Coturnix japonica: one gene and its partner. The protein of the gene in region 1 interacts with the protein of each later gene in a biochemical or structural test. Links are inferred from orthologs where the notes say so. Each region holds a gene or a part of one and is shown in the gene's direction. Other genes may lie near its edges. The genes, in order: FERMT2 and ILK.

What was found.
Region 2: the proteins of FERMT2 (region 1) and ILK form a complex in vitro, tested with the Homo sapiens proteins (2 studies listed by BioGRID). The link is inferred for Coturnix japonica from reciprocal best matches to the Homo sapiens genes FERMT2 and ILK.

The regions. Positions count from the first base shown.
Region 1 is NC_029520.1:52,894,990-52,899,434, reverse strand, and holds the start of FERMT2 (fermitin family homolog 2), read left to right. Parts: upstream 1-1,352; 5' UTR 1,353-1,382; coding exon 1,383-1,436; intron 1,437-1,902; coding exon 1,903-2,071; intron 2,072-4,445. UniProt on the Homo sapiens protein: Scaffolding protein that enhances integrin activation mediated by TLN1 and/or TLN2, but activates integrins only weakly by itself. Binds to membranes enriched in phosphoinositides.
Region 2 is NC_029516.1:173,992,440-173,997,022, reverse strand, and holds the start of ILK (integrin-linked protein kinase), read left to right. Parts: upstream 1-1,604; intron 1,605-2,196; coding exon of another isoform or gene 2,197-2,207; coding exon 2,208-2,296; intron 2,297-3,360; coding exon 3,361-3,526; intron 3,527-3,793; coding exon 3,794-3,889; intron 3,890-4,004; coding exon 4,005-4,101; intron 4,102-4,204; coding exon 4,205-4,288; intron 4,289-4,498; coding exon 4,499-4,583. Other genes in the region: RRP8 (ribosomal RNA-processing protein 8), read right to left, coding at 389-1,086, 1,168-1,604, 2,197-2,218. UniProt on the Homo sapiens protein: Scaffold protein which mediates protein-protein interactions during a range of cellular events including focal adhesion assembly, cell adhesion and cell migration.

The DNA.
Region 1 (4,445 bases):
TGCACGGGGAAAATGCCCAGGTGAGCAGGGAGGAAATGCTGGGAAATGTTTCCCTTTTTCTCCTCCTGCTGCTCCCATCACCCTGCGGAGCTCAGAGCACAGATTTCAGCCAGCCTGGAGGGAGCCAGTCTGACCGGCTCCACTGCGGCGAGGTGGGAAAGAGAGCTGAGTGCACAGAGTTAAATATTAAAACTCAAACTACAAGTGAGCTCTAAAAGAAAAGGCAAAAATGGGTTTCACAAAGATAGACTCATCCTGATGTCCATTGAGTTGTTTCTTGGGAAAGGCAGAAGGACGGCAGCAGCTTTGCTGGGCATCACCTCCATCCCGATGGAAGCGGCCGTGCGCTGCGGCACCTTATTTGGCTATGGCTGCATGGAGGGAGCACGGAGCTCTGGCAAGCAGTGGGAAGAGCTGGGGATGCTTGGCTGCTTCTGACGCATGAGCCCACGCCGTGCATGTCTGACCTGGCCTCAAATCTCAGCAGCACATTGGTGATGCGGCCGCCCGCCTCCGCGCACACCCACAGCATGGGATGGGGACCCTGGGGACGGTGTGTGCGGCCACCAGCACCACGAGAGCGGGGAAACGGAGCAGCAAGTGGTGCTCAGGGCAGGAGAAACCAGCAGCAGTCAGCTGGAGTGAAACAAGGCGGCCCGAGCAGGGCTGTGATGCATTGCATCAGCTGGGAAGCTCGGCCAAAAGGCTGGAGAGCAGAGTAACCCTTTCTGTGTATGGCCCTATTGTTTGGCATTGGAGCAACACTGAGATAGGATCTGACAGAGCTCTGCTGTTAAGGGCTGGTGTTCCCCTGTTGGCACCCTGCAAGCTGGGCTCCAGCTCCCAGGTTTGGGGGCAGAAGTGGGGTTCTGCTGGCCAGGAGTGAGGCCCAGGGAGGATTTGGGTTGGATTAATATTGTAAAAGACCTCTGAGATCACCTAGTCCAACCATCTGCCTCACTAGCCTGAATCCTCCACACTCCTTGTGTGCTAAACGTTAATGCTTGTGGGAAAGGGGATCCCATCAAACAGCAAAAGGGAAGAAGTGGTGGGACCCCACCACTTTCACCATCAGGTCTTTGTTCCCCTACTCATTATCCATCTCCGGAGCCATATATGAAGGGCACACAGGAAGCTGAGGACCGTGCTGTCCCCAAAGCCACGGGTATGGGATGGCTTCCATGGGACGCGCTGCCATTGCCGGCCACATCCTGCCCACCGCCCCGCTCCCTGCACACACGGACTGTCAGGAAGCCGGGCTGCCTCAGCAGGACACATGTATCACTGGGTGGGGAGCCGCAGGAAGCGGATAATAGGAGGGTTTTTCTCGCTATTTGTGCCGGCTCTCGGTTCAGCCAGTTCCCATTTCCTAAGCTCTCGGGATGGAGGGCGGCAGCGCATCGCCCGGCCTCGGCTCCATGAACCACGACGCCAAGGTGAGGCTTTTGTCTTTGTGTTCTACCAACGGGACGAACAAACACACCCAGAGCCGGCACCAGCCGGGCTGGAAGCGCGGCCCGGTTCGGAGCAGCCCCACGAGCCGCTCCGGGACAAGCGGGGCCGCCCCCCGACGGGCAGCGCTGCGAGCCGAGTCCCGGATGTTGGAGCAGCCCCCGCTGCGCTCGGTCCTTCTTTCCCATAAAAGGCCAAGGGGCCGCCGGGCGTTTTTCCTTTAATTATCCCCCTCCTCCTCCTTCGTCCCTCCTCCTCCTCCTCCCATCCCATCCCATCCCTGCCCGCCCCTTCTCCCCCCGCCCCCCCCACGGCGGCCCCGCAGGCAGCGGTTCGGGGGCGGCCGCGCTGTCCCCCCCGCACCCGCCGGGCTCCGTCCGTCCGTCCCTCCCCGCTCCGCTCCGTGCCGAGCCGTGCCGTGCCGGCTCTGAGCGCTGTATCTGCGCGCAGGAGGCCGGGGCCATGGCGCTGGACGGGATCCGCATGCCGGACGGCTGCTACGCCGACGGGACGTGGGAGCTGAGCGTCCATGTCACCGACCTGGGCCGCGACGTCACCCTGAGGGTCACCGGGGAGATCCACATCGGGGGAGTCATGCTGCGCCTCGTTGAGAAGCTCGGTGAGTGCCGGCGGCCGCGCTGCCCCAGCATCCTGCCCCGGGACTGTGCCTGCAGCCAGCGCCGGGCCGCTGCCACGGCATCCAGCGCCCCGACATCCCCCGCCCTGCCCCTCAGCCGGCTTGGACACCCGGCACCCTGCCCCGGTGCTTTGCTCTACCACCGGTGCCCTGCCTGCACCCAGCCCCGCAGCTCAGCCCTGATGCTGTGCCTTAACACCCAGCACCCCGTGCAATAACTCGCTGTGGCGCTCAGCACCCTGCAGCGGTGTCTTGCTTTAGCATCCAGCCTGCGGGCTGCACCCAGGGCGCTGCCCCAGCATCCCACCCCAGTGCTGTGCTTTAGCGCCCAGCACCTGCCTGCACCCGCGGCCGGGGCTCTGCCCCAAACTGTTCCTCAGCTCCCAACATGAAGCCTCAGGGCTGCACCCAGTGCTGTGCTTTGGCACCCAGCTCCCTGCCTGGAAGCAGCACCCAGCACCTCGCTCGTGTCTGGCACCAGGAGTTGAACTCGATCCTTATGGGTCCCATCCAGCTTAGGATATTCTGTGATACACCTGGACCAGCACCCTGCCTATATCCAGCATCTGCTCCATGCTGCCCCAGTCCCTGTTCCAGCTCTGCGTGCCCCAGGGTGTCCCTGCACCAATCTGAGCTCCACCCGGCCCCCCAGCAGCACCCACCCCACACCCACTCCCATCACCCCGGGGTCCTGCTGGCTGCAGTTTGCACGGAGCTCAGAAATATCGTTGCTTCGGGCTGTTTGGTGCAAGTCCTGCCATTAACAAAAAGATTTAATTAGCAGAGTTTGCTCAGAGCGGAGCTGGGCATGGTCAGCGTTAGTGGAGGTGGCTGTCCGTGCCCTCTGGCTGTGCTCTGTGTGTGCTTACCCAGCAGTGGGGTTGGGGTGGTTGCTGTCACTGCTGGGATAAAACATGAAATGTTGCACTGCAGGCGCATGCCTGGGGCTGTGGGAGTAGCTGTGCTGTCAGCCCTGCCCGCGGGTCCTGCTTCAATGCAACATGTTTGCGTGGCTGGAAAAGCAGCGTCCTGCTTCGGTTGTCATTTGGGAATTGCCTGGGCTTAAAGGAAGGGGGAGGTGGACCTGAATAGGGTCGGCTTAAAGGGAGGCAACCATTCGATCAAAGGATCTCCTGCTGGAGGCAGCCCCGGCTCCAAAAGCCCGTTTATGTCTGTGTTATTTTTCTGCTGGGGCTGCAGAAAGCTCAGCCTGAAGCCGGGCCGAGTGACTGGGGAGCAAAACAAAACCCCAGAACAAAACACTAGGGGAAAAAAAAACCACCCAAACCCCTGAAGCCACCTCAATGGCTTTCTAGAAATGGTAAAAACCAACCCCCTGATGGAGGGCTCTGCTCGGGGCTGCCCAGGGGACCCGAATTAGAGGCTGACGTCAGACGTCCCCGCGCCGTGCTGGTTAAATTAGGCATTGTATTAAGGGGAAGGAATGCCAGCAGCACGGGAATGGGATTCTGCTGCTCTGCACTCAGCTGTCAGCGCAGCCCGCGGCCCTCGCTTCCATAAGTCAAATCCGTGCTGCTTTCCCCCATCCCAAGGCTGCTCTGCTGTTTTAACATCTCCCTGTGGTTAAAAAAGCAAAAAGTGTGATTGTTTCCTGAAGGATTGATCCCTCTCTCTCTGTTTTTGCTGTGGGTTTTAAGGAAACTTCCCAAAGCTGACGTTTCTGGTGGAGGATGGATGAGATGCAGATGGATGGGGCGGCTGCCGTGGGCCAGACTTGGCTCCTCCGTGGGCTCTTCCATTGGGGAGCTTGGAATGTGGGGCCAGGCTGAGCCCAGGGGATTTGGGGTCGGGCTGACCCTGATGGACCCCTGACATTGGTGGAAGCAGTTGTTGGCTTTGAGCACAAGCCCCATGCATTCCCTCCCTGCAGTTCCGGCCGCTTGCAGTTAAAGCCTGTTGCGATTGGAGAAACCCCCAGGTGGGGATTCTGGTTACTGAGTGCATTGCAGCGACCTGCGTGCTCCCCTGTTATTCATCAGCCCGGCAGATGAAGGCACTGTGTTAATTGAGCTGCGCCATGAGCTTGGCGGAAAAATGGGCAAGAAGTGCTGAGGTTTGAAGAGCAGCACTATTTATTTGGTGACCTATAAAGGTCCGGGGCAAAATCCTGCTTACAGCATAGGAGCTGTGCAATTCATCCTACTCATGCCTATTAAGCTGGGATGGTTTCTTCTCTCTTGGTGTATTTATATGTAATTTTTTAACAGCGGGCTGCACTCCAGCCTTGGCCCATTTGCAGAAGCCAGCTGATTGCATTGGGAGCAGGCAGCAGCTGCCTGGCTTTGCCCAAAATCCTGAGCAGGGCTGCTGCATTGTAGGAATCCTGCCACTATTG
Region 2 (4,583 bases), on another chromosome or scaffold:
AGCATGGAGAAGAGAAGGCTGCGGGGTGACCTCAGTGCAGCCTGCCAGGACCTGAAGGGAGCCTACAGACAGGAGGGGAGTCAGCTCTGTGAAAGGGCAGATAACAGCAGGACAAGGGGAAATGGTTTGGAGTTGAAGGGCAGATTGAGGTTGGATGTCAGGGGATGTTGTTTACAGAGAGTGTTGAGGTGCTGGAACAGCTGCCCAGAGAGGCTGTGGATGCCCCGTCCATCCCTGGAGGTGTTCAAGGCCAGCTTGGATGGGGCCCTGGGCAGCCTGGGCTGGTATCAATGTGGAGGTTGGTGGCCCTGTGTGTGATGTGGGGTTGGAGCTCCATGATCCCGGGGTTCCCTTCCATCCCAGCCCATTCTATAGCTGTATTTCTCACCGCTGCCGCAGCCGTTGGATGATGGAATCCACCGGGTTCTGCGGCCACCGCTGGACCTGCAGCGCGAAGCCGCGGTGGTAGATGTGAAACGCCTCGGGGTCGCTCCGGAACAGCTCGACGGCGTCGCGGCTGGTGCCGGTGTACAACCGCTCGTTGATGTACCGGAACCGCGCGGCCAGCAGCCGCTCCTCCATGCGGGCCCGCAGCGCCGCCGACCGCCCCGTGGGAACCGCGTCCGGTTCGGGCGGTTCGGGTTCGGTCGGTTCGGGCTCATCCCGCCCGGTGCAGCCGCCCCCGGCCCCGTTCTGCTCCGCTTTCAGCTTCTCCGCCTTCAGCTTCTCCTGCCGCCGTTTGTTTTTCTGTTTATTCCGCCACTGTTTCCTGCTCAGTCTCGGTGCCGCAGCTCCGGAGCCTCCCGCCCCCCCCGCGGGCTGCACGTTCCTTCGGGGCGGTTCCGCGGTGACCCGGGGCGGCAGCTCCGCCTCGTTCCCCGCGTTGCCGCCTCCGTCCCGGGGCTGCGGTTCCTCCGGAGCCGCCTCCGCCGCGGTTCGGTCCCTCTCGGTTCTCACGCGCTTCCCGGGCCGCTTTCGAGCCTCTTCGCCGTCCCGTCCCGGTCCCGGTCCCGGTCCCGCCGCCTGCAGCCGCCGCAACGTGGCCACGAGGCGCTGCCGCCGCTTCCGCTGCATCGCGGCGCTGACCTGCGGGACCGGAGCAACGTCAGTCCCGCAGCCGGGGCTCGGCCCGGTTCGTTCCCCCTCCCCTTACCGGCGGCTCAGAACCTTTGGCATCAGCACGAAGCTCCGGCACGGCCCGAGGCAGCGCCAGCCCGTCCGCGCCCTCGTCCCACTCCTCCACCTCGAACATCGCCACGGCGGCGACGGGACCGAGCGGAACCGGCACGGACCGAACCCAGCGCCCGGACCCCACGTGCACCGGCGGCCGGAGCAGCCCCGGGCACACGAGGCAGCGCCCCGTGCGGAGCGGAGGGTGAACGGCAGCGACCGGCACCGCCCAGAGCCCCTCGGCCCCTCCCCCCGGTTCCTCCCCCCGGTTCTCCCCGCCCTCGTTCCCCGCCCATCTCCGCTCCGTTCCCGCACCGCCCCTTGTCGTTCCCGCCGGTTCCTCCGCCGTGCGGGGCCGGCAGGGGGCGCTGCGTGCGGCCGGGGCGGAGCCACGCACAGCCCCGCACAGCCACCGCCCTGCGCCGCCGGAGCCGGTAAGGGCGGCGGGCCGGGCCGGGCCGTGCGGGCGGAGCTCGAGATCAGAGCGGGCCGGGAGCGGCGGCCGAGGGCGCGGGGAGGAGCGGGGCGGAGATGGAGGCGGCTGCGGGGCTGCGCGGCGCGGAGCGGGGACGGCGCGGGGCCGGGGGCGGAGCGGCAGCGTCGGGACGGGCGGCGGGAGCGGGGTCCGTGTGCGGGGTCCGTATGTTGCGGGGGGACCCGGGGCCGCGGCCCGTCGCGGTGGATCCCGCTGAGCTCAGCCCCGCATCCCTCCCGTTGCGGGGCCGCCCTGGGGCTGCGCGGCCGCTGCCGTCGGGGCCGAGGAGCGGAACCGGCCGGGAGCAGCGGGCGGACGGGACGCGGAGCCGCGGGGCGGTGCGGGGTCTCCTCCCGCACTGATCCCCGCCGCTCCCCCCGGCCGCGGCCCCGAGTGCGGGTTGCAGATAACGCAGGTAACGCTGCGGGCTCCGCGCTGTTTCCTGCTGTTGGCCGCGGGCACCCGCGACACTGCGGACATTGCGGCCCCCCCGAGCAGTGCGGGACCGTCGGGCCTCGCGGGGCCTCGCCCTCACCCCGCGCTCCCCGCAGCCCCAGCCGCGATGGATGACATCTTCACGCAGTGCCGGGAGGGCAACGCGGTGGCCGTGCGGCTGTGGTTGGACAACACCGAGAATGACCTCAACCAGGGGTGAGCGGGGGGGCGGGGGATGCTCCGGGGCTCGTTTCCGCCCCGTGTCCGTGGGGGGGGGGGCGGTGGGATGCGGCTCCTCCCCGCCGGAGGAAGTTACCGCATCGCTGAGGCATGAGCGCCAAACATCCTCCGTCCGCCCCCTCGGACACCGCCGTTGTCCCGGTGTCCGGCCGTGGGTTGGGGGGGGGGCGTTGGGAGGAGCCTCCCCCCAAAGGGGGCTGCAGGGCGAGGTGACCTCAAGTAACCCCTGACCCCAGGGGCACCGCTGTGCCCTCCCGTCCCCCAGAGCTGGGCTGGGCTGGGCTGTATCCCCGGGGCTGCTATTGCTTGATATGGGCTGTTATTGGTTGTTATGGGGTATTATTGGTTGTTATGGGGTATTATTGGTTGTTATGGGGTATTATTGCTTGTTATGGGGTATTATTGGTTGTTATGGGGTATTATTGGTTGTTATGGGGTGTTCGGCTCCAGCCCAGCGCTGTGTGCCACGGGAACGGTGCTGGCAGTGCACTGGATGGCCCCGGTTCTGCTGGAGCTGAGGGCAGTGGGGCTGCTATATCCCCATCCCCATCCCCATCCCCATCCCCATCCCCGCCTACTGGGCCCTAATCTCCTTTTAAGGCCCGGCTGCCGCCTCCTCCCTTACTTGGCCAGGCACGGCTGCGAGCAGATGGGGGGGGCATGGGGGGGCTCCTGGTCCTCAGCAGCCTCTGCTGCTCCAGCCATGAGGACGATGGAACGTGGTCGGGGCCCTCCTGGGGGTGGGCAGAGCAGGGGCAGCACTTGGGCTGCTCCTCACAGCATGGCAGGGTGCAGCGTGGCTTTGGGGCTGTGTGGCTGCTGCTGTTGGGTGCTGAGCAGTGGGAGCAGAACTCACCTCCCTGCCCTTGGGGCTGCAGCATCCCTTGGGCTCGGAGCTGTGCCTCACTCAGCCAGGCCAGGAGCTGAGGGGCCCGTGGAGCTGCAGGATGGTATGGGGTCTCCTCCAGTGCTATTCCCCAGTGCTCCCCTGAGATACAGCCCTGCGTGCTCCCAGCACATCCTCACCGCTGTCCCCTCAGGGATGACCACGGCTTCAGCCCCCTGCACTGGGCCTGTCGCGAGGGCCGCTCCAACGTGGTGGACATGCTGATCATGCGCGGAGCGCGCATCAACGTCATGAACCGCGGCGACGACACCCCGCTGCACCTGGCGGCCAGCCACGGCCACCGCGACATCGTGCAGAAGGTACCAGCTCCCCAAACACTGCACAGCCACAGTCAGACTCACTGTGCCCAGCAGGCCCTGCCCCACTGCTCCCTGCCCCACTGCTCCCTGCCCCACTGCTCCCTGCCCCCTCCATGCACTCACTGCACCCACCTCTGGGTGCTCCCACCATCCCCTCGCAGCCTTCAGCCCCTTCCTATCAGCAGCCCCTGCTGTGAGTGCATTCCCCCCCCCTCAGTGCACTGGAAGGGACCCACTCTGGGCTCACCAGGACTGTCCTGCCTGCAGCTGATCCAGTTCAAAGCGGACATCAACGCGGTGAATGAGCACGGGAACACCCCTCTGCACTACGCCTGCTTCTGGGGACACGACACGGTGGCAGAGGTGAGAGCAGCACCTGGATACAGGAGCACAGGGGATGGCAGGGGGGAGGCTGGGTGTGTAGGAAGGGGCTGAGAAAACAGCAGCAGCTGTGGGTGCTCAATTTCTTCTTCCTCAGGACCTCGTGGGTAACGGGGCCTTGGTCAGCATTGCCAACAAATACAGCGAGACGCCCATTGACAAAGCCAAGATGCCTCTGCGGGAGATCCTGAAAGGTAGGAGGCTCCCACCTGCACCCAGTCCCTGCCTCTGGCTGCTGCAGCCCTGAAGCTCAGCACCATGGGCTGCTTCGCTGTCCAACTCTTCATTTGCTTCCAGAGCATGCAGAGAAGCTGGGCCAGAACCTGACCAAGATCCCCTACAAAGACACCTTCTGGAAGGGCACGACCCGCACGCGGCCCCGTAAGGACAGAGGCTTCCTGCAGAGCTGGGGGCACGGATCTGTGTGCTGGGGTGGAACTCAGGGCTGAGGGGCAGCGCTTGGCACAGCACGTGGCTCAGTGGGGCAAGGGAGGCTCCCTTAGTGCAGTGCCTTTGCACACAATGCTGGTGCTGCTCCTCCTGCAGCCCCCAGACAGGAGGAAAGTCCCATGCAATCCTTTCTTCTTACAGGAAATGGGACCCTCAACAAACTTGCTGGAATAGACTACAAACAGCTGAGCTTGAGCCAGAAACTCAATGAGAACCAATCAGGAGA